Linked DNA regions of Callithrix jacchus. The protein of the gene in region 1 interacts with the protein of each later gene in a biochemical or structural test. Links are inferred from orthologs where the notes say so. Each region holds a gene or a part of one and is shown in the gene's direction. Other genes may lie near its edges. The genes, in order: EP300, SIRT2, MAPK1, STAT3, GABPA, ETV1 and APEX1.

Region 1 (3,515 bases):
TTGAGTAGTAACTAAAGATACAAAAACAAATAGACATACATGAGATACTTGGTTTTGGTAGAATTAACTCAAGTTCTGGGTGAAATTTGAGCCAAGTCTAAAGTCTGTGAGATACTAAATTTTATTCTAATGTCAGAGTAAAAACAGTTTGGTACCGATGAAAGCAGGAATAAAAGGTAGTGGAACTGAATATCAGCCTTAATTGTTGACCTTTAGCTTATACTAAATCTGACATTTTGTAAAATGAGATTCTTACCTTAACCTAATACACCGAAAATAATAGAAGCATAAAAGGGGTTGGGCATGTGGACTCACGCCTATAATCGCAGCACTTTGGAGCTTGAGGCTGCGGATCACTTGAGCTCAGGAGTTCAGGACCAGCCTGGGCAATATCCTGAAACTCCATCTCTACAAAAAATACAAAAATTAGCCAGGCATGGGAGCATGTGCCTGTAGTCCCAGCTATTTGAGAGGATAAGGCAGGAACATCACTTGAGAAACAAAATAAAAAAGAATTACTTCTATTTTTCTATTTTAGAGGTACAAGATATATAGTGTGTTATAATATGCATATTATTTAAGATCAGTGTTCACAGTGAGTTTGGTTGTTTAAGGGCAGATGGTGCAAAGATACTTCTTTATTTCTCTTTTTTACTCTAGATGGTCCTCTGCCTGATCCAACTATGATCCGTGGCAGTGTGCCAAACCAGATGATCCCTCGGATAACTTCACAGTCTGGTAAATAGTGAAAAAAAATTATTTTAAAAGAATCCCTGATGTACTGCAAGATAATACCTGCTATCTGGATACCCACTTTATGTCAACAGCAAGTGTCATGATAACCTGCCTGAGAAATTCAAAAAACCCCTTGGAGTTGGAGCCCTTAGAGGAAGAGGGGGTGAAGAGCAGGTTGGCTGGCAGATCACTGGGCAGGTGACATTAAATGATGCAGCATCCATTTTAAAAGAAGTGCAGGCTGGGCACGGTGGCCTAAAGCTGTAATCCCAGCACTTTGGGAGGCTGAGGCTGGTATATCACCTGAGGTCAAAGTTCAAGACCAGCCTGGCCAATGTGGTAAACCCTGTCTCTACTAAAAATACAAAAATTAGCCAAGTATGGTGGCTCAGGCCTGTCAGTCATCCCATCTACTTGGGAGGCTGAGGCAGGAGAATCTCTTGAACCCAGGAGGTGGAAATTGCAATGAACAGATCATGCCACTACACTCCAGCCTGGGCAACAGAGCGAGACTCTGTCTCAAAAAAAAAAAGGTACATTTGTAGAGTGTAAAATTTAGTTTGGAGATCCTGTTAATGCCTGTATACAACTGCTGCAAATGAGACAGATATATTTATACATGGAAGATTGAAAGCAGGTTTATTAGCCCTGATAAAATGTTATAGAATTAGACATAAGAATTATTTTATTCTTCAATTTCACAAAGGCATTCAGATCTACTATTTTGTACATATTCACAGGTTTGAATCAATTTGGCCAGATGAGCATGGCCCAGCCCCCTATTGTACCCCGGCAAACCCCTCCTCTTCAGCACCATGGACAGTTGGCTCAGCCTGGAACTCTCAACCCGGTTAGTTTGCCATCTTTGGGTAATCTCTTTGGCCTTTACCTGGTATTTTGAAAATCCTGTTTGTTCCTGCTTAATCCTGTTTGTTCCTGCTTTGTAAATTCTCACAGTCATTTAAACAGACCATAACTCCTAGTTCTTCTGTAATTCTGTAATTTTAATGTATTTAGCCCTATTAGAAAGCTGACAAAAAAATAAAAACAGCCAGGCCCTTATCCCTGGAGTCTCAATGTTTAGTAGCCTGCATGCATATTCACAGTCACTTCTCTTCCCTGATGTCTGTCTTCCCTTCTCCAGGCAGAGAACTGTCTGTCGTTTGCAAGGGTGATGGTGTGTTTGACTGGTTCTTGAGACCAGAAAAGAAAGACTAGGCATCTCCTGCTCCTTAGGCGAACTCTTAACCAGTCCATCTCTTCACACTGACCCCAACCCTCCTGCTGCCCTTTAGAGTTAGCTGGTGCCTCTGATTCTTCAGCCTTTTGAGGGGTTCCTGAGCATTACTACTTCTCACTAATCTGCCGTTTTCAACAAGGAGTTCTGTCCTTCATTTCAACCTGTAAGACAGATGTTCTTAGCTTACGAAGTTTTTGGCTGGCCTTTGGTACTACAGATTTCTTTCTTTAAGGCCTGGATTTGTGTAGGGTAATTTTAGAAGTGTAACAATCCTGGAGCATTTGTGGACCGTGAATGCTACCAGATTGTGCCACAACGTGTAAGATTTTATTTGTTTTTACATATTATGGTTCTTAGAATTTGTGCTATTACTACATCACTGATGTGAGCTCATGAAATTGTGATTCACTCTCCTCACTTAGAGCATGCAAAGAAAGTTACCTGCTATCCTTGTTAGAGCTAGGTATATTTGTATATCAAGAGAATGTATGTTTGTCCCATTCTTATTATTTCTTGAGCATAGGCCTAGGTAAGCTGTGAGGCTATTCCCGTTTATCTTGGCGCAACAGTCAGTTGTTCCACAACTTTCTTCCTATTCCTCTCCAGCCCTTTTCACCTATACTCCTGTCTTTGACTTTTCTCTGCTTAATAAGCCTGACATTAGGATCATTTGATGATTTCAGTTATAGTAGAATGAATAGTTTGGTGCTCTGGTTTTTTGCAGCCTATGGGCTATGGGCCTCGTATGCAGCAGCCTTCCAGCCAGAGCCAGTTCCTTCCTCAGACTCAGTTCCCATCACAGGGAATGAATGTAACAAATATGTCTTTGGCTCCGTCCAGCGGTCAAGCTCCAGTGTCTCAAGTATGTCTTATAAGTGGATTTTTTTTTTAACTTATTTTTGATTCTTGAAATTTCTCTTGACTTAGGTTTTTATAGGAAAGAGTGGCAGCAAACAATGAGTGAAAACAGATGATTCTTTAAAAAATAACAATTTTGGACTTAGGGCATTCAGAACATGAAGAGATTATGACATAGCAATGGTGTTGTTACAAATTAGGAAATAATTTAAATGGATGGTTTTAATTTTTTTTTTGTAGTGAACACTTTTAAAGTAAAATCTTAGAATTTACTAGACCGTAGAAGGAACTCTGGCTGAAGAGAGCATAGGGAGGCCCTAGAGTACTATGCACTCAATTCTGCCATTTTTCTGCAGTGACTAAGGCCATTCTGCTGAATGGTTTGAAGTCTCTTTAGTTAAGTACTTTATTGATGGTGCTCTCCAAAGATATATCCCCAGTAATAGGGTTTTTACACTTTATGAAATAGACACATTGCTACTGTTTGTTTAATCAGTTTGTGTCCTAAATGCATATAACATGCCTGTATAAATATTTCCTTCTGTTTTGAATTGCTGTCTTGTTGTTTTTTAACAGGCACAAATGTCTAGTTCTTCCTGCCCAGTGAACTCTCCTATAATGCCTCCAGGGTCTCAGGGGAGCCACATTCACTGTCCCCAGCTTCCTCAACCAGCTCTGCATC
Region 2 (3,879 bases), on another chromosome or scaffold:
GTGCGGCTGTTCTGACAAAATGCCAGCTGAGTGCCCCTGGGCTGAGGAGTCCTGAATGGCCCAACTGCGGGCAGCTGGGGCAGTGTACAATTCACATTACCCCCGTTATGTGCCACTGACAGTGCCGTCACAGGCAGCACCCACGGTGTCATGCGGTCCACACAGAAACAGCTTAAAGACAATTCCCGACTACTGACATGGAAACAATGCTCTATAAATGTGTGCTGAATGAACGAATGGACAGTGGAGCAAGTGACTTAGAATTCAGTGGGTTGCAAGTGACAGAAATGCTTGCTGGCCTTTTTTTTTTTTTTTTTTGAGATGGAGTCTTGCTCTATTGCCCAAAATAAAATAAAATAAAATAAGGCTGGGAATAGTGGCTCACACCTGTAATCCCAGCACTTTGTAAGGCCAAGGTTGGCAGATTTGCTTGAGCCCAGGAGTTTGAAACCAGCCTGGGCCACATGGCAAAACCGTGACTCTACAAAAAATACAAAATGTAGCCAGGCATGCCGGCACGCACCTGTAATCCCAGCTACTCAGGAGGCTGAGGCAGGAGGATCACTTGAAGCTGGGAGGTCGAGGCTACAGTGAGCCATGATTGTGCCACTGTACTCCAGCCTGGGCAACAGAGTGAGACCCTGTCTCAAAAAATAAAAGAGGTGTTTACTAAACAGAATGGACACCCGAGGAGATGTCCAAGTGACGGAGATGTGCTCATACAAGCGGTGGAGGGGGTGGGTGTGCTGGACCTCCAGACCCTGGACCAGAGCCTCTTACTGCTTTCTCTCTATTCCCCTTCTCCACACCCAGGGAAGATCTTCTCGGAGGTGACGCCCAAGTGTGAGGGCTGTCAGAGTGTGGTGAAGCCTGGTGAGCCTCGGGCCAGGGTCCTGTCCAGGTGGATTTGGGTGGGGGTCCCCTCCTTCCTCTGACCCCTTCCCAAAGGCCACACCCCCACACATCTGGCCACCTCTGTCTCTCTGAACAGTGCCCCAGATCCATCCTGGGGAGAGGGGAGTCTGTGTCTCTGGCCGGTCCCCGCTGCACCCAGCTCCCACCCCAGCCTCCGGGTCTGCCCCTGCCCCCTCCCGTCCTCTCTTCCTCCCCGTGTCACTGTCTCTGTTTCTGTCTTGGCCTCAGATATCATCTTTTTTGGTGAGAGCCTCCCAGCTCGTTTCTTCTCATGCATGCAGTCAGTAAGTGCCCACTGCACCGCCCTCCCTACCCCCAGCCCCCACCTCCTCCTGTGCTGGGCCCCTTGGGGGCAGCCTGAGCCCTGCCCAAGAAAGGTTGCCTCCCTGGCTGTGGAGGGGTGGAAGGAGGTTTGCTGCTGGGGGCGGAGGAGGGAGCGGTGGCTCAGCCTGGGCAGAGGCTCCCGACCTCACCCCTCCCCGCAGGACTTCCTGAAGGTGGACCTCCTCATCATCATGGGCACCTCCCTGCAGGTGCAGCCCTTTGCCTCCCTCATCAGCAAGTAGGTTGGGGGCTGCGGCTGGGAGGGTGGCTGGGCACCCAGGACCAGGACAGACCCTGATCTCTCAGCTCCCCTCCCACCAGGGCACCCCTCTCCACCCCGCGCCTGCTCATCAACAAGGAGAAAGTTGGCCAGGTAAGAGCCCTTCCTCACATCCCTTCCCTCCCACCAGCTTCCTCAAAGGGAACCCCTGCCGGGGAACCCCAGTTCTTTGGACTCCTCAGTTCAGACCCTGGGGCTCTAGAATCCAGAGGCATCGGGTTCCAGGCCTCTGGGACATCCACCACCCCTTTGAGCAAATGATTGAATTCCAACTCAAACCAGCTGAACCCAGAACAAGAAGGCCAGGCTTCCAGGGCCTGAGGAGGAGGAGGCGGTGGGGTGAGGGGAGGTGGTCTAAAAAAAAATACAAAGTCCTCCAGGTGCGGTGGCTCATGCCTGTAATCCCAGCACTTTGGGAGGCTGAGGTGGGTGGATCATCTGAGGTCAGAAGTTCGAGACCAGCCTGGCCAACATAGTGAAATCCTGTCTCTACTAAAAATATGAGAAAGTAGCTTGGTGTGGTGGCAAGATGCCTGTAATCCCAGCTACTCGGGAGGTTGACGCGGGAGGTTGAGGCAGGAGAATCAGTTGAATCCGGGAGGCGGAGGTTGCAGTGAGCCAAGATCTCACCATTACACTCCAGCCTGGGCAATAAGAGCAAAACTCCATCTAAAAAAAAAAAGAAAAAGTCTGTGCTCTCAGCTCTCTCTTCCCTACCCCACCCCACCCGCTCGATGGCAGCTGGACCCTTTCCTGGGGATGATGATGGGCGTTGGCGGAGGCATGGACTTTGACTCCAAGAAAGCCTACAGGTGAGGCCCCGCCTGGGGTCAGGGGCAGCCAGGAAGGGACAGGGTAGGTGGGAGGGAGGGCACAAGGCAGAAGAGAGGAGCAGGCAGGGGCGAGCCTGCCTGGGAACTCTGATCTCCTGTTGAACCGCAGGGACGTGGCCTGGCTGGGTGACTGTGAACAGGGCTGCCTGACCCTTGCTGAGCTCCTCGGATGGAAGGTGAGGAGCCAGGCGACCCCAGCCTGTCCTGAGGCCCGTCCCTAGACCCTCCCCCAGCCCCATCTGTCCTCTGACCCCATGATGCACAGTGACTTTTGACTTCTGTGACCTTTCCCCCTGCAGAAGGAGCTGGAGGACCTTGTCCGGAGGGAGCACGCCATCATAGATGCCCAGTCAGAGGCAGGGGCCCCCAACCCCAGCACTTCAGCTTCCCCCAGGAAGTCCCCACCACCTGCCAAGGAGGAGGCCAGGACGACAGAAAGGGAGAAACCCCAGTGACAGCTGCCACTCCCAGGCAGGATGTCCAGCCCCTCAGGGACAGCTGAGCCCCAACCAGGCCTGGCCCCCTCTTAACCTGCTGTTCTTGTCTGGGGAGCTCAGAACAACCTCCCTATCTCTTAACCACTCCCCCCTAGAACTGGGGTCCCAGCGACCCTGCCCTCCAACCCCAGCAAATCTAACACCTACTAGAGACCAAGGCTTGGACAGGCGTCTCTAGCAGCCCCACCATCTCTAACCACTCCACTAATCATTAACCACCCCCACGGGGCCAGGCCCACCCCAGACTTCTAACTCTTCAAGGACAGGGAGCTTCGGGCCCCCACTCTCTCTCCTGCCCCCAGGGGCCTGTGGCTAAGTAAACCAGACCTAACCTACCCCAACAGGGCTGTGGGCCTCTGAATGAAACCTACACCCAGCATAGGGGAGTCTGAGCCAGAGGGGCTCCCAAGTCTCTGCCTTCAACACCCAAAGTGGGTGGTGGGCCCCTTCACATGGGACCCACTTCCCATGCTGGGTGGCCACAAGACATTGCTTGTTGTAGACAAATTAAAAACAAAAACAACTAACAGTCCGGTCTGGCCTCTTGCTTCTTCTGCCGCAGCCAGGGAAATCGCTGAAGGGAGGGATTAGGTCTCAGGCCACTGAGAAACCAGAAAGTCTCCAGGCTCCAGAGTGAGGGGTGACAAAAGGGTCCTCACGGCGGCCCCTCATGGCTCTGACCCCTGGACTCCCAGCCTGCCAGTGTCCCTTCCTCTAAGCGTTGTCACTGAAAGCCTGAGCCCCCGAAAGAGGGAGGAAGGTTGACTTCAGATACCCCAGCCCCGCCTCTTCCCCTGCTCAGCTTCCTCTCTGCACTTCCTGCCACTGCAGGCTTCTCCTCCGAGAACAGGTAGGGCCCCCAGGGACCGAGCATCTGGCATCTTCAGCCCCTCTGCCTCCCTTTGGTATCAGGCAGCTGCCCCCCCACCAGCCCTGCCCAGCACCACCCACAGCCTCCTCCCCTGTCACCGTACCCAGGCAGGCATCTGCCTTGCTCTCCCCTCCTCTCCCCTCCTTCCTGCTGTGGCCT
Region 3 (4,276 bases), about 1.9 Mb from region 1:
CCACCACTCCCTAATCCCTTTTGCTTTTTTTGGAGACGGAGTCTTGCTCTGTTGCCCAGGCTGGAATGCAGTGGCGGCTCACTGCAACCTCCTCCTCCCAGGTTCAAGCCATTGTCCTGCCTCAGCCTCAAAAGTAGCTGGGATTATAAGTGCCTGCCACCTCGCCTCGATAACTTCTCTCCACCCCACCTCCTACGGAGTCTTTGCTCTGTTGCCCAGGCTGGAGTGCAGTAGTGAGATCTCAGCACACTGCAACCTCTGCCTCCCGGGTTCAAGCAATTCTCCTGCCTCAGCCTTTCAAGTAGCTGGGATTACAGGCATTCACCACCTCGCCTGGCTAGTTTTTATATTTTAATAGAGACGGGGTTTCACCATATTGTCCAGGCTGGTCTTGGACTCCTGACCTCGTGATCTGCCCACCTCGGCCTCCCAAAGTGCTGGGATGACAGGCGTGAGCCACCGTGCCTGCCTTTAATTTTTGTATTTTTAGTGGAGACCTGGCTCTCAAACTCCTGACCTCAAGTGATCCGCCCGCCGAGGCCTCCCAAAGTACTGGGATGATAGGTGAGAGCCACCGCGCCCTCCCTTCTGCTTTATATTTCTTCACAGTACTTACCACAGCTTGAGTATTAAATGTATTTGTCTGGCCGGGCGCCGTGGCTCATGCCTGTCATCCCAGCACTTTGGGAGGCTGAGGCAGGCGGATCACTTGAGGTCGGGAGTTCGACAGCAGCCGGACCAACATGGTGAAACGCTGTCTCTAAAAAATAAATTAATTAAAAACAAACAAGTAAATAAATAAACGCTGTCTCTAATAAATAAATAAATAAATAAATAAATGTCTCCTCTCTCTAAAATGTAACTTCTATGAGGGTGGATCCCCAGGAACATAGAGTGTGGTCAACAAACATCTGAGCTAAGCTCTGATTCTCCTATCCTCTCAGTGTCTCCTTTTAATCTAGACAATTGTGCTTCTCACTTTCTCAGTATGGAAATATCTTTCTCAGTCTGGGTCATGTCTTTCGGTTTCTGCCCCAGTGCCAACGCCTCTTAGTTTATCAGCGTGTGGGCCACGGATTAGCAGAGGCCTGAGCTGTGGCGCCGCCGGGCTACGGCGCGTCGTCAAGCCTCAGGCACAGCTCCGAGCCCTCGCTGGTTCTGTTAGGACCCTGCTCCGGCGCGGGCCCCGGCCACATGTCACTTCAGTCCCATAGGTTCTGCCCCACGTCTGTCTCCCTGAGTCTCTCAAGAGCCGAGTCCCGCGCCTCCGACCCCGCGAATACACGTGACCACGCCCGGGGGTGGCCCCTCAGTCAACGCAGCCGCAGTGCCCCACCCCGAGCCCGTCGCTTCCGCCGGCCCGCCTGGCCCCGCCCCATCCACGAAGAACCAATCTGCACGCACGTTGCTTGGCCCCCTCCCCGGCACTCTCCTCGGCGCGCGCCCCTCCCTCCGCCCGCCCGTCTGTCTGGCAGGCAGGCAGGCAGGCAGTCGGCTCGAGCGGCTGTGGGCTCTTCAGGTCTCCCCCCCGGCGTCTTCCTTCCTCCTCCCGGTCAGCGGCGGCGGCTGCTCCGGCGGCGGCGCGGTCCCTTCGGGAGGGGCGACAGGAGCCGAGCGGCGGCCGCGGAGCGTCGAGTCCAGTGCGGCGGAGGCGGCGGCGGCCCGGCAACCAACATGGCGGCGGCGGCGGCGGCGGGCGCGGGCCCGGAGATGGTCCGCGGGCAGGTGTTCGACGTGGGGCCGCGCTACACCAACCTCTCGTACATCGGCGAGGGCGCCTACGGCATGGTGTGGTGAGTGTCCGTGCCTGGCCACGCCCGACCTCCCCACCACCGGGGGCCGCGGCGGACGCAGCCTCGGCCTCGCCCGTGCCTCGGCCTCGGCAGCCGCGGCGACCTCGAACCCGGACTTCACCGCGGTCCGCGCGCCGGGACTCGGGCGGTGCCCCGGGCCGATTGAGACCCGGGCCCGCGGTCGCTCGGGAAGGGGCGCAGGGAGTGGCGTGGGGGGCGGAGGCCGGAGGCCGGAGGCTGGGTCTCGGGCCCAGGGCGCAACGCGGCCTTTAAAGTCTGGACCCTCGGGAAGGCAACGGAAGCGCCCCCACTCCTCAATTTGCTAACATCATGGCTTGCTTGATTGTAAACTGGGAATTCCATCAGATGCTTGTCGGTGTTGGCGGCGGCTGCTGAGGTCCTGAAAGCGATTTGTCTCCGCGTGTGTGCAGAACACCAAAATAGTCATTTTTTTTCTACTCGCCTTTGCAGCCAACGGCTTTGATTAAATATCCTCAGCGGTGCTAATGGTGGTCTGCGCGCAGGCTTTATAAAATGCATTGCTGACAGCAGTGTTATTTCCGTCTTGAAGTTTTTACTTTAAAGTGGATTTTAATATCACACTATTGGCGTTTCAGGAAGGTTAACTCAGCCTCAGTTTCTTGATTTATTAAAGATCCGTTTAGAGTTGGGCCTAATTTGACTTTTTTTTTTTTTTTAGTCCCCTAGTGAGCTCTTTTACCAGCATAAATGCTCCCAGATGTTTTAGCCCAATTGCTGTGGACTTTAGTGGTCAATAAGTATGCAGCCTTTCTGGAGTTTTTGCAAAATCACATGTAGGCTCCCTCATCTTGATTTAGGTCCCTTAGAAAAGTGAAGTGATGGTGACTGTATTGTTTTTATTAGAGCAAACTAGCTGTAACATTTTGTGCTGGTGAAGACTTGTGGAAGTAGATTCCCTTAAATCACAGTGTCTTTTGTGTTGACCGAAGGAATTAAACCGATATTTTATTGAGCACTTCATGGTAGGTACTGTGCAACATACATGATTTCATTTTATTTGAACAGCCACATTGAAGGAGGAAAAGATGGTGTTATTCCTTTTTTCAGGTGAGAAGGTATTTCAGGTGATAAAGTATTTTGAGGTGAAGTTCAGGATGAGGTAATAGAACTAAAGAGTTATTCTTAAGATTGTAGAGTGAGATTCTACTTCACACACCACACCTCTTTTCAGCTGTTTTTAGGAAAACACCCTGCTTTCCTTAGGGTAATTAATAATTGCAGAATTTTGTGTATTTCACTGTTATAAAGTAAATGTAAGTCTATTTCAGAAGTGTATTCAGATTTCAATCGTCATAATTTTAGAAATGCAATAGAAGGCATGTTTTGCCAAGTATTGCAGCTAGATAGAAAGATTACTTAAAATTTTTTTAAAGAGACTTTAATTGAATCTTTCATATTTTCACTTTTTTTTTTTTGAGATGGAGTCTCGCTCTGTTGCCCAGGCTGGAGTGCAGTGTCAAGATCTCTGCTTACTGCAACCTCTGCCTCCCAGGTTCAAGTGATTCTTCTGCCTCAGCCTCCTGAGTAGCTGGGATTACAGTATTTTCACTTTATTTAGGCGCAAAATGCTGAATACAATTGTAAAAATTAACATGAACTCACAGGTTTAGGAGCCAAGAGAGAATTTAAATTAGGTCGAGCCTAAAAGAAATAAGGCCCTAAAGCCAGGCGGGGTGGCTCAAGCCTGTAATCCCAGCACTTTGGGAGGCTGAGGGGGGTGGATCACAAGGTCAAGAGATCGAGACCATCCTGGTCAACATGGTGAAATCCCGTCTCTACTAAAAATACAAAAAAATTAGCTGGGCATGGTGGCGCGTGCCTGTAATCCCAGCTACTCAGGAGGCTGAGGCAGGAGAATTGCCTGAACCCAGGAGGCGGAGGTTGCAGTGAGCCGAGATCGTGCCATTGTACTCCAGCCTGGGTAACAAGAGCGAAACTCCGTCTCACACACACAAAAAAGAAATAAGGCCCTAAAAAGTAATGGAGAGGAAGTATTGCCAATAACATCATTTCTGTACCATACATCTCACTGTTGTTGCACTCACTGGGAAGTGTGCCCGTGAACGTGTCTCATTATGAGAGGCTCAGAATTTCCCATCATGTCCTTTGGCCCTTTTAACAAAATTAACTTATCTAAAATGTGGACTGAAAAAAGTCTTTTAAGTTTAGGACACATCACTTGAAAAGATACCCCCATCTGATAAGGTTTCCCCTATCTGATAAGGTTTTTACTAGTCTGAAGTTTAGATCTGGGAACTAATTCTGTCAACTGCTGTAGGCTCGTTTGACCTTCTGACTCTCCGTTTGAATGCTAGGTCCTCTTATTATGATTTTCCTTTCTAACTAAAACACAAATGCAAATATAATTGGGTATTTGAATCCTAGATTCAAATTATAGCCTTTTATCAGGTTGATGACATACCCTATTAACCTTCTCCATT
Region 4 (3,515 bases), on another chromosome or scaffold:
TGGTCAGGCTGGTCTTCAACTCCCGACATCAGGTGATCCACCCACCTTGGCCTCCCAAAGTCCTGGAATTACAGGCATAAGCCACCATGCCTGGCCTTTATTTTATTTTATTATTTTTTTTTAGATGGAGTCTCTCTCTGCCACCCAGCCTGTAGTGTAGTGGTGCGATCTTGGCTCACTGCTATGTCCATCTCCTGGGTTCAAGCAATTCTACTGCCTCAGCCTCCCTGAGTAGCTGGACTGGCATACACCATCATGCCCGGCTAATTTTTGTATTTTTAGTATAGAGACAGGTCTTAGTCATGTTGGTCAGGCTGATCGCGAACTTCTGACCTCAGGTGATTTGCCTGCCCTGGCCTCCCAAAGTTCTGGCTTACAGGTGTGAGCCACCACGCCTGGCCTATTTTAACATTTTTTAAAGAGAAAGATAGAATCTCTCTCTTTGACCCAGGCTGGAGTGCAGTGGCATGATCATGTCTCATTGCAACCTTGAACTCCTGGCTACAAGTAATCCTCTTGCCTCAGCCTACTGAGTAACTGGGACTATAGGTTCATGCTGCCACACCCCGCTAATTTTTAAATTTTTTATAAAGGCAGGCTCTCGCTTTGTTTCCTAGGCTGTTATGGGACTCCTGGGCTCAAGTGATCCTCCCAGCTTTGCCTCCCACAGTGCTGAGATTATAGATGTGAGCCTATAATTATAGACAGCTTGGCCAATTACCTCTGAGAAATGAAGAATTATGAATTTTACCTTTCTTCAACAAAAGGTTATGGGAGAGTCTACTGACTTTTTTTTTAATTGGATAATTTCTTTTTAAATAGGTTGCTGGTCAAATTCCCTGAGTTGAATTACCAGCTTAAAATTAAAGTGTGCATTGATAAGTAAGTACTCCTATCTTAGTTCTTGTTTTCAAATGAGGAACAGAAAAATGAGAACTTTTATAGGCATCATTTGAACTCGAGATTCTATCTTTATTCAGAGATGTTTTTGGGGATGAAAGTTTACAAAAGCCCTGGGGTGCATTGTCATTTACTTGCCAGAACAAAGCCACAAAGCTGAGGGTATAGGTGTGATTTGTGGTTGCTGTTGTTTAGCGTTTTACTTGTACATGTAATTCATGCATTTTATATATAAGACTGAGATCATGTGTTAATTGATGACTGAGATACATTCTGCAAAATGTATCATTAGGCAATTTTGTTGTGCCAACATTTATGTAGAGTAGATGGTCTTTATACAAACTGGGTGGCAGAGTGCCTATGCTATGTGGTAGAGCCTGCTGCTTGTAGGCTGCAAAGCTGTACAGTATGTTACCATGCTGAATACCGTAGGCAATCGTAACACACATCACAATGCGGTAGGAGTTTTTCAGCTTATCATCTTATGGGACCACTGTCATATGTGCAGTTTGTTGTTGACTGAAATGTCTTTATGTATTCTTTCCATACATAGCGTGTGGAAAGAATAGATCTTTTTTTTTTTTTTTTTCTTTTTTTTTTGAGACGGAGTCTTGTTCTGTCGCCAGGCTGGAGTGCAGTGGTATGATCTCAGCTCACTGCAACCTTTGCCTCTGGGTTCAAGCGACAATTCCCATGCCTCAGCCTTCCGAGTAGCTGAGACTGCAGGTGCACACTACCACGCCCAGTTAATTTTTTTTTTTTTTTTTGGATTTTAGTGGAAACGGGGTTTTACCATGTTGGCCAGGATGGTCTTGATCCCCTGACTTTGTGATCCACCTCGATCCCCTGACCTTGGGAGGCTGAGGCCTCCCAAAGTGCTGGGATTACAGGCATGAGCCATCATGCCCAGCCTTTTTTTTTTTTAATTGTTCCACACTTTTACCATATAATGGAATACTCAAAATTTTATAATACCTTTCAGGATGTAAGATACACATACCCTTTGAATATATTAGAAAAGAGAAAATACATACTTAGTTGATATAATTATCTGGAAATTTCATGACAATGAACTGGAAAATAATGAAATAAGGGAGTTGACAAAGGTGGGAGGTTTAATAAGTACATATGCAATGTGAAACACGGGTTCCCCTTCCTATGGGGAGGCAACCAACTGTGCCTACTACACAAAGGTGTTATGATGCACTGATAAACTGTAACTAAATTGTTCATAGAAATGCCAGGAGCACAGAGGTTTTTTCAGGAGAGTAAATAACAGGTGGTCAAAGTAGGCTTTTTGAAGAAACATGGACCCTGTTTTACTGACAACGGTCTATGTTCTTACAGAGACTCTGGGGATGTGGCAGCTCTCAGAGGGTAAGTTTCGCCTAGAGGCTTCCTTTTGTTCCGTTTAACTTAACTTTATCCTGACTTTATACTTGGTCACCTATATGGCTGACTGTTCTCCTGCAATTCAGATCCCGGAAATTTAACATTCTGGGCACAAACACCAAAGTGATGAACATGGAAGAGTCCAACAATGGGAGCCTTTCTGCAGAATTCAAACACTTGGTATGTGGGAGGAGCTTCCTTCACACAGGGCTTCTGGCTGAGGGAGAGAGCTGGGGAGAGCCTCATGGGACACCTGGCCTTTTTCTTTCCTTGCAGACCCTGAGGGAGCAGAGATGTGGAAATGGGGGCCGAGCCAACTGTGATGTAAGTTTTGTTGGGGGTGTTTTCCCTGAGGGAGAAAGGGGAAAAGACCCTTCTTATTACCCAGAATTAGAAACATCAACCTGTCCTTTCAGCTATAGTTAATTCCAAAAAGCCATTGCAGGCCAAAGTGACCTGATCAGAAGTTCCATGTGCTGTGGCGTTCTGTGGCTTGGAGCATTTCTGTGAATATCTGGGAGTTGGCTCCTCCTTAAGGAGAAGTGGAAAGTCCCTTGCTGAGTCGTTCTCCACACCCATGTGTTATAAAGTAGCTTTCCACCTTGCCTGGGGCTTTCCAAATTCCCCTTCCAGATCCTGCCGTTGACTCTGCTTGGCTCCATTCTCAGTGTCCCATTTTTCTCTCTCACTGAGGTAGGATAGATGGTGTAAAAGCAACAGTCCCGAGCTAAACTTTAAAATAAATGACCACCTTGTGTTAGCTTGCTTAGGAAAAGAGAAAATAAAGTCAACGAACAAACAAAAACTCATCTTGTTCTTTATCCCCCTTATTTTCTGCCTTTCATTGATTCAGTTGGATTCTTAATGTCAAGTGTCAAGAATAATTTTTATTTTTTTAATAGAAAAAGGTAAATATGACCTAAAGCTAGTTTAATGATTTTTAAAAATTGTGATACCCTGTTCTTGTTCTCACATTTATCCCCTGAACAATTCTTCCTCTTTAAAACGTAGCAGTCCTAGCTAGGTGCGGTGGCTCACACCTGTAATCCCGGCACTTTGGGAAGCCGAGGCAGGCTGGTCACTTGAGGTCAGGAGTTTGAGACCAACTTGGCCAACATGGTGAAACCCCGTCTCTACTAAAAATACAAAAATTAGCTGGGCATTGTGGTGTGTACCTGTAGTCCCAGCTACTAGGGAGTCTGAGGCATGAGAATGGCTTGCAC
Region 5 (4,280 bases), on another chromosome or scaffold:
GGAATACTCTTAAAAAGTTAGAAGGAGCCTGGGGAGAAATGCCAAATGTGGGTGAAGGGGAGAAGAAAAGCAAAGCACACTGCCATGTGTGTACCTACGCAACTGTCTTGCATGCTCTGCTCATGTACCCCAAAACCTATAATCCAATAAAAAATTTAAAAAAAGAAAAAAAAAGAAAAAATAAATAAATAAATAAAATAAAAAATAAAAATAAGCTGTTTACAATAAAAAAAAAAGTTAGAAGGAAACGTTCTTATCTCTGCTTTACAGATCTATGTCTAAGAAGTCAAGCTGCACATATTCATACAGCTAATTTTCTCTAAGTCTGACTGCAGAGATGTTATTCCTGCTACAACATGGGTAAAATCCACTTTCATCGTTTCAATTTTCTATCTTCTAAGTGCCTATCATTCCCGAATCGCATCTCTAATTTTGGTATTCTTCCTGAACCCCAAATCTATACACTCTATTCAACAGTTCTCATCTCCCTTATAAGTTCTACGAACTCATCCAAAAAAATTAACACATAATCTCATACCAAAACTTGTTCCTTCTTTAATCCCTTTCATTTTTTTCACTGATTAGTGAATGCATATTGTCCACTGACTCGCAGAAGACAGTCATTACACAAACAGCTGTGGAATACCACCTGCCATAAATTCTCCATTCCAGTACCATCGGGTGACACGAGAGAATATGATAGCGTCTGACATGATCAGAAAGACTGGGGAACGCAACAGTAAGAAAACACTACAGTCCGAGCAGAGGTCTTGTCGTGGGCGGGAGCAACGTTGTCCCATTACAGTGATGACTGACAGGCCAAAGGTTAGTAGGTTCGCTGTCTCGTCAGTGTATGTTCTTAAGAACAATCCATAAAGCTGCCTAACGAAGTGTTAGCACTATCATCGTTTGTAGGTGGGAAGCAAACTTTCAAGATTATGACTACTCTTTGCCCTCTTTTGGTGGACATTTTGTCTAAGGAGCTAAGACGGCTACTTGCGCCCGGGGCGGGCAGGCCTAGCCGAAAACCTCTCCCGCGCGCCTGACCTTGGGATGCCCCAGCCAGGATGCGGGCCCGAGACCTCCCAGCCTCCCTGCCTCCCGCGCGGCCCCGATTTGCCCCCTGGGAAGGTATCAGTCTTATTTCTAGGTTTAAGGCAAACTCCAAGGTCTAGAAGCGTAGAGGTCAGCTGTGACCCCGGGCCAGGCCGTAAATGTCCCCAGGACACAGAGCTGCTCTCTCCTTCTAGTAGAGCAAAGGTGAGAGGCAGCCCAGCCCTCGTGAAGAAACCCAGATCTGGAGTCCCAAGAGGCCACGCTGATCTAGCTACCCTCCCAGTCACCTTGCACTCAGTACCGAGTTGCCAAAGCCGCCGCAGCCACCACCACCACCGTCCTACTTCCGGCTCTGGCTCCGCCCCCACACGCCTACCCGCCATCGCAATGCATTATGGGCCGCCGTTTCAGTCGGTCGACGCTCACCGGACAGGAAGCGTCTCGGAGACAAGTCTGCGACCGGACGGCTCTAGGTGAGACAGAAGCCAAACAGGAGGAGGAAGTAGAGGGTAAGTGCTTCCGGGTCCCGTGGCGAAGACTCCGCCATCTTTTCTTCGCCTAATTTGACCCGTTCTCTTTCCCTCCTTGAAACCTTGCTCTGTACGCATGCGCACTTTGTCTAACCTGTCCCCTAGTTCAAGCTGTCTTTCGACTCAGCGTCCTGTTCCTTAGGGTTATCGAGGTGTATAATGGTACAGGGAAAGTGAGACTGTGTAAAACAAAGCGGATTGGGGCGTTGTGCTTCCTTGTGCCTCGTGAGCCTCCGTTGCCTTGGGCGTTTGTTTCGCGCACCCTGCTGGGAGTTGTAGTCCTGGACCTGGAGGTGCTTGGGAGGCGGGAGGGGGGTTGGGGCTTCTCAGCGCCGATTCCGCGGGAAGGGCCCTAGGGCCTCACACTTCTAGTCGCGGGAGCTGAAGGTCTTACCCGGAGAGACGCAGCACGTGGAGCCTGTGCCGCTGCCATTCTCAGCCGGCTCTGGAGCGCGGGCGGGGGCCACAGGGCCGATTCCGGAGCTGGTGAGTGCGGCCGCCGGGGAGGAGGGGAGCGTGGGCCCGCGCGGGCCGGCCTCGTTCCGGGGCCTTTTCGCCCACAGCGGCCCCCCCGCGGCCGCCTCTGTGTTTTGTTTCCGCTGGTCCCCGGCGCTGTGACTCCCATTTCCGTTCGTGGAGACTTGAAGGAGCCGGGTGGGGAGGGGCGGGAGAGGCTGTGCGGGGAGCAAAGGGGAGGGGCGGGGGGCGAGCGGCCGGGAGCCTCGGGGAACCGCGCGTCCCCGGTACCCGCGCTGGACGGGTCGCCTGTCACCTCTCCCTCCCTTCCCAGTCCCCTCCTCCCGCCAGTCTGCATTCCGCGGCAGTCTCAGCCTGCTCAGCTGGGATGTGGTCCTGACACCCCCGGGATTTTAAGAGCAAGATGCAGAGCCTGTCTCATCGCGGGACTCAGCGATTCACTCACTTCAAATCCACTCTTTCTAGAACGACACAGTTACAACAAAACCATTTGTCAGTCTTTATGGTATCCGTCAGGGTTTGTGTTTTGTTTTTAAGCGAGGAAGTAAACCAGGGAAATAACAGGGTAAAGTAGCTTCCCTACTTTTTAAAGTGCCTTGTGTGCTAGAAGACACGCCGGGTGTGCGTGTTCGGATTTAGGGACCCCAGTTTGATCAGATTAGCGGCCGAGAGGACAGTGCCTAATACTGTATTCCAAGATGATTAGAAATTTAGAAATAAAATTCACTTCATAAGTAGTTTCCACTAATACACGTAGGTCTTACTCTTGAGAGGAGCAAAGATTTAGCAGGATTCCCTTGAGCGAATTGCAGAACAGGGCGGTGATAACATTCTTAGGTAGTGTTATCTGGAACTTCAGAAGGAACTGCTCAGCTCTTTAGCAACTGCTTAAGGGACTAGCCTGTCTCTCAGGGTTCCATCCAGACTTTCCAGGCTTCTTTATATTTAGACATACACTGACGCTGGGTGGACTTAAATCAGTTCTACCTGAATTGTGTATACAGGAGCATCTGTCATGACGCATGTATAGTATTGAAGTAATTAAATCCTGAGCTAGATGTTAGGCTGAAGCAAGTCATAGGACCGAGTACTAAATTAAAACGGTTGACTTTACCCTTCCCTCAACTCTTTATATGTAAAACTGCAAACCTACAGAAAAATTCAGGGAAAAAAATCATACAGCGAACACCCATATACCCTTCACCTGGGGGGTCTCAACTGTTAATCTTTCACTCTGTGTGCTTTCTCTCTTTAAATTACATAGATGTATATGCTTTGCTTTTTCTTAGCTGCTACCTTTATTTTTGAAAATAAAAATGTCTTTTAATTTCCGTCGTACTGAAAAGCATCTGATAACTTGGGAAAATGTGCAGTTAATCTCGCAGGTACCCCCACACTCCACTTAGTTTTATAATTACAATATATTGGGAGGAAAAAAGCTCTGTAATTAATGCACTCCAGTGAATCCTCAAATAGGTTGACAACCCTCAAATTTATCTGTAGTTTCAAACAGGAATGTTCCACCTATCAGTATTTTAAAAGACACAAGCTGTTCCCAGAACTTTTCGTTAAATTCAACTTCAGTTTGTATTCCATCTTGTGAAACGTTCCGAACTCGGTTGGATGGAATCTAGCAGTACCAAAGTGTCAATGAAAGTATATGAAGTTGCTCTATGCAATTCTGACGGGGGCAGCCTTTAGATGGAGAGACTGCAAGTAATTTTCTCTCAATTTTCCTAAGTATTGACATACAAACCTGGGGAATTGGTTTCAGAAAAAGATAAGACTCACTCAAAAACTGTCATGAAAAATTTGGACTGTTTCTCAAATCTCTGTTTTGCTTCTCTAGACTAAGCATAGAGAGCCGAGAGAGAAAAAGATCATTTAAGAGATTGGGTAATATTTTTTGAAAGATCATTTAAGAAACTGAGTAATATTTTTTTTTTTCTCCAAAAGGGCATGGGTTTTTGTTTGGTTTGGTTTGGTTTTTTCTCTGGCACTTTCTAGGGAATGGTCTGTAATTTTTTTGAAAGGTCATAGGACAAATTTCTTTTTAACAACTTATTTTAGTGTTTATATTAGGGGTGCTGTTTTATAATCTTTAAAAAATTGGGAGTAGACCTCCTTATAAGTCCTGAAAATAAATGATTTTTTAAGTGCTGCTCTGCTGTAAACCTGATTCTCACTTTTTTCTGTGTAATTTCTCACATTATTTCC
Region 6 (4,014 bases), on another chromosome or scaffold:
GTAGGGGCATTGTGGATCGCTCCTCGAAGTGTATACAAGAACCGCACAACAGCGCTATAAGGAAATCAGCCCAATAGTGGACCTAACACCCCAATAATGAGAACTGGAGACTCGATACACATGGTTTCAGTATCCCCGGGCGCCTTAACAATAAGCTGCGGGTTTCCGAGGAAGTCGAGTCTCTCCGTGGCGTTTCCAGGCTGCGGACCCAGCGCCTACCCGCCGAGCACCCCCTAGGGCCGAGGGGCGAGGGAGACCCGCGGGAAGGGGCAGCAAGCCGCCTGATTGACAGCCCGAAATCTGATCTTGTGAAAGAGACGCGGAGCCAATGGGAGGCAGCGATCCATCAGTTTGGATTGGAGGCCCCTGGAGGAGAAGTAGAGGAAAAACCACCGAATTGAGCTCTGTCAGAGGCGCTTTCGGCTTTCAAGGGGGAAGTGCTGGGCAATAATTAATGTTTTTATTAAATTTGGAGGGAAGTTTTTGCAGCCTTTCGCCTAGCGTGGCCTTCAGGTGGGTCTTTCCAACAACTTTCTATGTCTCTCCAGATAATTGCATGGTTGTGGGTCGCAAAAACTATCCTGATGAAAGAGGTGTCTCCGTCTCTTTAGTCCCGTTAGGTGCAAAGCAAGTCTCGTTGATCGCCATTGCTAGTTTTGCACACGTTTGCGAATCAGAGCTGCCCGGGGTACACCGACCGCGCAGGGAAACATCGAGAGTGTAAATAAATACATCGCCTCTTGTTCGGATTTTTGCTACTACCGAAAATATATAAATTGTGAACTCTCTTGGTTCTCTTTGGATCCAGGTGAAGGAGGCGGTGTAGGGAGGGTTATTTTTGTGAATGGGACTGTCGGAGGGTAATTAGCTATGCAAATTCAAGAGCTTCATTCATGATTTTTTTTTTTTTTTAAGCCTAAAAGCCATCTTGTTCCCCTCTAGGTTGATAGAAGTCCAGATCCCGAGGAAATCTCCAGCTAAATGGTCAAAATATAAAATACTGAGCTGAGATTTGCGAAGAGCAGCAGCATGGATGGATTTTATGACCAGCAAGTGCCTTACATGGTCACCAATGTGAGTGATCAGTTTGAAAGTTGCTGTTTATAAACTTGACTCCGACGGGGGTGGGGAGAGGCAGAAAATGAGAAGGGAGGGGGCACGGGGGTTGGGATTGCAGATACTTATCTGCTTTGTTGCCACTGTAGGGCGACTCTGCTTCTAGAAGCCCAGTCTTCAAAATGAGCTTACCTTTCAGTGATTTGGATAAGGCATAGTTTTGTTTTTAAGACCCCTTTTTTTCTGATTAAAGTGCCCAAGATGAGTGGAAGAGGAGGTGGAGGGCAGCAGCAGCTGCTGCACTCAAAGTTTTTGGCTGGGTTTGTCTGCCACATTGAAAAGAATGAAGTTGAGACAAATGCTGACACTTTTTGTTTATATGGGGTGTTTTTGTTTCTTATTCCCTTCCCCCCCGTTTTATTTCTCTCTCTTTTTTAAATTTCTCTACTCTTTTGGTTTTTTTTTTTTGGTTTGGTGCGGGGGAGGGGAGGGGTTGTCCAAGAGAGAATAAAATTCACTGTTTTAATCTAGCATTGAAACAGCCTAAAAACAACTTTAAGTGTAAATGCTTAAGCTTGTTTTGATGCTGAGATACCATGAATATATGACTGATAAATAGTAATGTCCTAGGATCGGCACTGGGAAGCAACTCTCCCTGACTGCTGAATTCTCAACCTAAGCTTTCACTGTCAAATAAGTGAGAAAATGAATATTACAGTTGATACTATGGACTTTTATTTTTCTATTCAGAGAGAAGATCCACTAGACTTGTGTATGCGTGCGTGCATGTGTGTGTACGTGTGTGTGTGTCATCTGAGGTTTACATTCTTTTAAAGGATTTTATCTTTCCCTTTGTAGAGTCAGCGTGGGAGAAATTGTAACGAGAAACCAACAAATGTCAGGAAAAGAAAATTCATTAACAGAGATCTGGCTCATGATTCAGAAGGTGAGGTTTGATTTTGGGCTGAATCTTTATTTTTTTACCTACACTCTCCACCCTGCTAAAAGAAAAGGAGCACTTCAGACTTTAAAATAATAAACTTTGAAATTACTGAATTTAAGACTTTAACTTGGAACAATTTACATAATGTGGCAGTTTGCATGGAAGAATATTTTATGGTCCTTATCACAAACTAATGAAAGAAGGAAATAAAAACTTAACAATGACATCCTTCTTTTAATCATTGTTTTGTGTTTAAATACCTTTGTCCATATGGCATATAACTCACCCCATTCACTAAGATAACAATTAAAAAATGTCCAATACAGTGGGACAAATTCAACAGCTATGTACACTGCTTACTTTCTTTCTTTCTACTTTATTGCAAGTTAAACAATATTAGTGATTGTTTGGTTTTCCACCCCTTTACACTAAAACCATCTACTGTAAACAGAATTTTCAAGGGCGATTTTGATGACTAAATTGTGAGGTCATAATACCTTGTTTATTGGCCATAAAATGTTCACTGAATCATACTTAAGGCCTACTTAATCATTATAATACTGTTTGGGAAATTAGTTTGTAGATTCTTTTTATGAACTCTTGGTAGGAAGTCAATATATTACAAATTATTGCAGCCATATGGAGACATTCATAATAAACTTAATATACTTAGATTTAATTATCAAAGTTCAGTTGGCAATTTTAATTAGATATACTGAATTCTGAAACTTCCTCAAATCTTCATACTATTTAGACACCTCCCTCCCTCCCTAACATGACCATATAGTTTTGAACTTGATGATAACCTAGTGCCAGAGAATTGTGTGTCTGACTTTTATAAACCTCTTATTGTAGTAATTTTCCTCTAAAAACTTGTATTTGAAGTGATTTCTTTTAGTTTTGAGGTAAAAAAGTTGAAAACATAGTATTTACAATTATACCATGTATTGTCATATCTTTTAGGTAAGATTCAGAAGATATAAATAAAATGCTTTTCGGTTTCCTAATCTTCCCCTCACTACTAGTTTAGCTGGAGTTAAATACATTTGAGAAAGATTTCAGTGAATAGACACACATTCATTTCAGCCTTTTTGTGAATTCAGGTAATCCTGAGCTTATTTAGTAAGTTGTTTGTTAAAAAGGAAAAAGAAAAGATGATTGACTATATTCTTTAGTTGACTAAAATAATTTCTTAAAGAGTTGCTTAATAGGCATGAAAAGTAGGCAGCATTATTGAGATACTGAAGTCATGCCTCCTATTTTCTTTTTATGTTGACTACATCTCTTGAAATTAAATTTATATTTAATACCAATTTCATGACAAACATTTCCATTTAATGCAGACTGCAGATTTGCAAATCTTATGTTTATGTCTTTGACTTGTTTTTTAGAACTTTTTCAAGATCTAAGTCAATTACAGGAAACGTGGCTTGCAGAAGGTAAGGCAAAAATTGCTTTAAAAGGGGGGAAAAGCAACTCTGGAAGGAAAAAAAAAAGTCCTGAACTTGCTGTCTTAATATTCAGCCCAATTAATTGAGCTCTAAAAGAGCCACCTCATGTGTCATGCATACATTAGAGCCTCTGATGAGTTTGTCTTTGGGGACTCTGGGGCTGCACTACCCAGTGTCATCACAAATTACCAGGAGAAATTGCTTCCAGCTCACAATCACATCTGCTTTTGGCAAGAACTAATGCACCAAGACTTCAAGTTCTAAGCCTCTGTTCAGATTTTAATTGCAATTGATCAGGTTTATATTATTGTACCTCCAGAGACCTCCTAGAGCCAGAACCCGGCTGGCTTGCTGTTTCCTTTCGAGCAGCGCATATCATTATTTGGTGTTCTGGTGGAGGACTTTTCTGATGGCAGAAATTAGTTTCTCTGGGTTCATCAGGACGGGATGCTTCAAGATTTAAGTGCAAGTGTCTTCTTTCCACCTTGTTCACAACACAGAACGTTAGGTGTGTATCCAATACTTAGGAAATCTGTGGGTTTAAAATAAATGTTTGGGAGATAC
Region 7 (4,016 bases), on another chromosome or scaffold:
GCCTGTAATCCCAGCTACGTGGAAGGCTGAGGCAGGAGAATTGCTTGAACCCGGGAGCCGGAGGTTGCAGTGAGCCGAGATGGCGCCATTGCACTCCAGCCTGGGTAACAAGAGCGAAACTGCGTCTGAAAAAAAAAAAAAAAAAAAAAAAAAGGAGTGTATATTCAGGGCAACTGGAATCTATATTCCTACTAAGCATTTTTTAAACAGAATGTTTCGAATCCATCTCTATTACACTGTTTATCATGCTGAAGAATAAACATCTATTTATATATCTGATTCCACAACAAAATCATAACATCTATTTCTAAACGCTTAGCACATAAAATGCGCTCAATAAAAGGTAAACTAACTTCTCAGATCCACCTCCAAGTGCCTATACCTCTTCTAGCTATCAGCCCTGTGATGTCAATAAAGTCACATAATTTCCCTGAGACTCGGATCAAAAGCTGTAAGAACGGACAATGCACCCAAGGCCCCACTTAACTAGTATTTAGGAAGATGGAAGACTAATTCCGTGCGGGGAAGTGCGCGGAAAACTCTCAAGTCCCTTACTAACCCACCTGTGCCCGGAGGCGTGACATAAGTCCGCCGCGGGTTCGCCAGCACCTTGCCATCCCGCACCACTCCCACGCCAATCTTATTGGCGCTGCCTTCAAAACCGAGCACCGCCGGCATGGCGAAGCCGGGGAGAAAACGCCGACAGGACTCCTAGCAACCTAAGAAGTGGAGGTCCTTCCAAGTCCGCGCTGTGCCGCAGCTTTCCGGGGCACAGAAGAAGAAGGCGAGACTGCAGATAGCACTGCGAGAGACACCACAGAACTCCCGCGAGCGGAGACCCGTCAAGGCCCCTCCAGGGACCTGTCTTCCTAACTGCCAGGGACGCCGAGCCGCCTCTGTGCTTTACATTCCTATCAGTTTTTCTATCCCTTTCCTATGGTCCAGCCCAGCCTTCGCTATTGTTTTTTTCCCCTCTTGCACAGCATTAGGATCTTAAGCCACATTCAGAGAATGTGCCGTGCATCTGGCACAACAATAAACACCCCGAAGGAGGGTTGGGGCCTTAAGTCTCCTGGGGAGAAGGGAGGCTAGGCCAAGTGTCTCCATTACGTGGTACCAGACAGACCAATCACGCACATTCTTCTGCCACGTGACTGGAGTCTCGGATCACGTGACCAGATCCGCTACCCACGTGGGGGCACAGCGTGCACCGTTCTTTGTGCTCGGGTTAGGAGGAGCTGTGCTGCGTTCTGACCAGTGCAGGCAGATACGGGGTTACTCTTCTGCTCGTAAGAGGGGCTTCGCTGGCAGTCTGAACGGCAAGCTTGAGTCAGGATCCTTAATTAAGATCCTCAGCTGGAGGGCAGATCTCGCCAGTAGGGTAAAAGGCACTATGAAATGATCTTGTTAGTGGGTGAGGGGCTGAAGGGCATATGATGCACGGAGGCTGGGAAAGGATTGAGACATAACATGGTTTGAAAAGCGGGGACCTGGTGCGGGGACGCTTTAGGGGAGGAGTCTTCTCCCCAGGTTTAGCTGATTTCATTTATTTGCGTCTGTAGGCAACGCGGTAAAAATACTCCTTCGGTGGGCGACACGGTACAGGTGCCTCCGAAGGGCGTTCGTTACGGGAATGCCGAAGCGTGGGAAAAAGGGAGCGGTGGCAGAAGACGGGGAAGAGCTCAAGACGGGTAAGAGAATGAAATAAGCCCCTCTTCCTAGAAGCTGCGGCGGGAATTTCCTTGATAACGGTAACTACAGGCCGCTCATTTTTTAAGGGGTTTGTGAAGAAGTAGCGGTAACATCACACTTTTGTTGGGTTTATAGTTAACGCCGGATCGAGGTTGGAAACTACCAACTTTTTGTCACTATGTATTACTCATTTTATAGAGCCAGAGGCCAAGAAGAGTAAGACGGCCGCAAAGAAAAACGACAAAGAGGCAGCAGGAGAGGGCCCAGCCCTGTATGAGGACCCCCCAGATCAGAAAACCTCACCCAGTGGCAAACCTGCCACACTCAAGATCTGCTCTTGGAATGTGGATGGGCTTCGAGCCTGGATTAAGAAGAAAGGATTAGATGTAAGTGGAATTTAAGGAGGGGAAGAGAGTATTTTTTCCTTTTTTTAAATATCATTTTCTACTTTGGTAGAGATATTCTTTAGTATTGAATGATCTTAGGGGTTTAGTCACCCCTTTTTTCCGTTTAGCCTTCAGGCTGTTTTGTTTTTCTCCTGCCCAGGAGAGCTTTATGTGGGGCTTCCCCACATTTTGCCAGTCGTGTTTCTAAATGTCCGTTTCTTCACTTCCATTGCCATTTTCGTTTAATGTTCTCTCCTCTTCCCAGACTGTTGCAAAAACCTTTTTTCTATACTTCCTCCATTTTATCTTCAGCATGTCCTCCATTCCATTAACTATAGCTTAAAATCTTAGCTTGCCATCCACTGCCTATGGAAAAAACACAATCTCCTTAGTAGAGCGTGTAATACTTTATCTTCCTCTATTAGTTTTTATTTATATAGCTTATAATTGTTTAAATGTTGTACTACTTGAACTCATTAGGCCAAGGGACTGTTTAACCTGTGCATATCTATGACTTAGCACATATTCAGTAAATGTTCTGCTGAATTGATGTTTTCCACCTTTTCACTTATAGTGGGTAAAGGAAGAAGCCCCAGATATACTGTGCCTTCAAGAGACCAAATGTTCAGAGAACAAACTACCAGCTGAACTTCAAGAGCTGCCTGGACTCCCTCATCAATACTGGTCAGCTCCCTCCGATAAGGAAGGGTACAGTGGCGTGGGCCTACTTTCCCGCCAGTGCCCACTCAAAGTTTCTTATGGCATAGGTGAGACCCTGTTAATCCCTAATGCCTGAGCTCTTCAAAACCAATAGCTAATTCTCCATCTCTGCCCCACCTCTTGATTGCTTTCTCTTTTCTTGTGGTTTTTTTATGCTAATTCTGTTTCATCATTTCTGTAGGTGAGGAGGAGCATGATCAGGAAGGCCGGGTGATTGTGGCTGAATTTGACTCGTTTGTGCTGGTAACAGCGTATGTACCTAACGCAGGCCGGGGTCTGGTACGACTGGAGTACCGGCAGCGCTGGGATGAAGCCTTTCGCAAGTTCCTGAAGGGCTTGGCTTCCCGAAAGCCCCTTGTGCTGTGTGGAGACCTCAATGTAGCCCATGAAGAAATTGACCTTCGCAACCCCAAGGGAAACAAAAAGAATGCTGGCTTCACGCCACAAGAGCGCCAAGGCTTTGGGGAATTACTGCAGGCTGTGCCACTGGCTGACAGCTTTAGGCACCTATACCCCAACACAGCCTATGCCTATACCTTTTGGACTTACATGATGAATGCTCGATCCAAGAATGTTGGTTGGCGCCTTGATTATTTTTTGTTGTCCCACTCTCTGTTACCTGCATTGTGTGACAGCAAGATCCGTTCCAAGGCTCTCGGCAGTGATCACTGTCCTATCACCCTATACCTAGCACTGTGACACCACCCCTAAATCACTTGGAGCCTGGGAAATAATCCCCCTAAACTACCATTCCTTCTTTAAACACTCTGAAGAGAAATCTGCATTGTATTTCTCATCTATAAAAATAGGAATCCTCCAGCCAGGCTCCCGCAGCAGACTTAGATTTCTTTTAAGCTCAAGATTTTTTTGAGGGTTTCTTTAAAAAAAAAAAAAAAAATTGAACAAAGGCTACTAGTAACTTTGTTTGAATTATCCACATGAAAATAAAAAGCCATAGTTTCATCCTTGCTGTCTTTGTGTCTTACCCCTTCGTGGGGCTACACATTCCCTTTCTCCTTATATTTTCATGCATACAAGTTAACAACTGAAAAAGGGTAGAGTCATGACCTTATTTATTTACAAGCACAGGATAAGTCCCTAACCTCCCCAAAGACAGAGCAACCCTACCCAGCCCAGTTAAAATACTGCAACTGGGGGGTAAAAAAGGTTGGAAGGAGGAATTAGGGAAAATTCAGGAATAGGGGAACGTATCCCACA

The links.
Region 2: of the proteins of EP300 (region 1) and SIRT2, one has a biochemical effect on the other in vitro, tested with the Homo sapiens proteins (3 studies listed by BioGRID). The link is inferred for Callithrix jacchus from reciprocal best matches to the Homo sapiens genes EP300 and SIRT2.
Region 3: of the proteins of EP300 (region 1) and MAPK1, one has a biochemical effect on the other in vitro, tested with the Homo sapiens proteins (2 studies listed by BioGRID). The link is inferred for Callithrix jacchus from reciprocal best matches to the Homo sapiens genes EP300 and MAPK1.
Region 4: of the proteins of EP300 (region 1) and STAT3, one has a biochemical effect on the other in vitro, tested with the Homo sapiens proteins (2 studies listed by BioGRID). The link is inferred for Callithrix jacchus from reciprocal best matches to the Homo sapiens genes EP300 and STAT3.
Region 5: the proteins of EP300 (region 1) and GABPA form a complex in vitro, tested with the Homo sapiens proteins (2 studies listed by BioGRID). The link is inferred for Callithrix jacchus from reciprocal best matches to the Homo sapiens genes EP300 and GABPA.
Region 6: of the proteins of EP300 (region 1) and ETV1, one has a biochemical effect on the other in vitro, tested with the Homo sapiens proteins (2 studies listed by BioGRID). The link is inferred for Callithrix jacchus from reciprocal best matches to the Homo sapiens genes EP300 and ETV1.
Region 7: the proteins of EP300 (region 1) and APEX1 form a complex in vitro, tested with the Homo sapiens proteins (4 studies listed by BioGRID, with this or other methods). The link is inferred for Callithrix jacchus from reciprocal best matches to the Homo sapiens genes EP300 and APEX1.

What each region holds. Positions count from the first base shown.
Region 1 is NC_133502.1:191,951,644-191,955,158, forward strand, and holds part of EP300 (histone acetyltransferase p300), read left to right. Parts: intron 1-660; coding exon 661-738; intron 739-1,475; coding exon 1,476-1,585; intron 1,586-2,699; coding exon 2,700-2,837; intron 2,838-3,409; coding exon 3,410-3,515. UniProt on the Homo sapiens protein: Functions as a histone acetyltransferase and regulates transcription via chromatin remodeling. Acetylates all four core histones in nucleosomes. Histone acetylation gives an epigenetic tag for transcriptional activation.
Region 2 is NC_133523.1:34,434,210-34,438,088, reverse strand, and holds the end of SIRT2 (NAD-dependent protein deacetylase sirtuin-2), read left to right. Parts: intron 1-813; coding exon 814-873; intron 874-1,143; coding exon 1,144-1,199; intron 1,200-1,400; coding exon 1,401-1,477; intron 1,478-1,560; coding exon 1,561-1,612; intron 1,613-2,260; coding exon 2,261-2,331; intron 2,332-2,461; coding exon 2,462-2,528; intron 2,529-2,651; coding exon 2,652-2,807; 3' UTR 2,808-3,378; downstream 3,379-3,879. UniProt on the Homo sapiens protein: NAD-dependent protein deacetylase, which deacetylates internal lysines on histone and alpha-tubulin as well as many other proteins such as key transcription factors.
Region 3 is NC_133502.1:193,829,235-193,833,510, reverse strand, and holds the start of MAPK1 (mitogen-activated protein kinase 1), read left to right. Parts: upstream 1-1,462; 5' UTR 1,463-1,674; coding exon 1,675-1,793; intron 1,794-4,276. UniProt on the Homo sapiens protein: Serine/threonine kinase which acts as an essential component of the MAP kinase signal transduction pathway. MAPK1/ERK2 and MAPK3/ERK1 are the 2 MAPKs which play an important role in the MAPK/ERK cascade.
Region 4 is NC_133506.1:121,758,025-121,761,539, reverse strand, and holds part of STAT3 (signal transducer and activator of transcription 3), read left to right. Parts: intron 1-822; coding exon 823-882; intron 883-2,247; coding exon 2,248-2,277; intron 2,278-2,378; coding exon 2,379-2,472; intron 2,473-2,568; coding exon 2,569-2,616; intron 2,617-3,515. UniProt on the Homo sapiens protein: Signal transducer and transcription activator that mediates cellular responses to interleukins, KITLG/SCF, LEP and other growth factors. Once activated, recruits coactivators, such as NCOA1 or MED1, to the promoter region of the target gene.
Region 5 is NC_133522.1:31,940,268-31,944,547, forward strand, and holds the start of GABPA (GA-binding protein alpha chain), read left to right. Parts: upstream 1-1,465; 5' UTR 1,466-1,565; exon of another isoform or gene 1,566-2,150; intron 2,151-4,280. Other genes in the region: ATP5PF (ATP synthase peripheral stalk subunit F6, mitochondrial), read right to left, coding at 1,433-1,449.
Region 6 is NC_133512.1:44,476,264-44,480,277, forward strand, and holds the start of ETV1 (ETS translocation variant 1), read left to right. Parts: upstream 1-1,208; 5' UTR 1,209-1,238; coding exon of another isoform or gene 1,239-1,268; 5' UTR 1,269-1,317; coding exon 1,318-1,404; intron 1,405-1,914; coding exon 1,915-2,002; intron 2,003-3,390; coding exon 3,391-3,438; intron 3,439-3,834; exon of another isoform or gene 3,835-3,897; coding exon of another isoform or gene 3,898-3,958; intron 3,959-4,014. UniProt on the Homo sapiens protein: Transcriptional activator that binds to DNA sequences containing the consensus pentanucleotide 5'-CGGA[AT]-3'. Required for olfactory dopaminergic neuron differentiation; may directly activate expression of tyrosine hydroxylase (TH).
Region 7 is NC_133509.1:55,179,671-55,183,686, forward strand, and holds APEX1 (DNA repair nuclease/redox regulator APEX1), read left to right. Parts: upstream 1-1,212; 5' UTR 1,213-1,289; exon of another isoform or gene 1,290-1,381; intron 1,382-1,562; 5' UTR 1,563-1,633; coding exon 1,634-1,691; intron 1,692-1,890; coding exon 1,891-2,078; intron 2,079-2,652; coding exon 2,653-2,845; intron 2,846-2,979; coding exon 2,980-3,497; 3' UTR 3,498-3,761; downstream 3,762-4,016. Other genes in the region: OSGEP (tRNA N6-adenosine threonylcarbamoyltransferase), read right to left, coding at 564-678.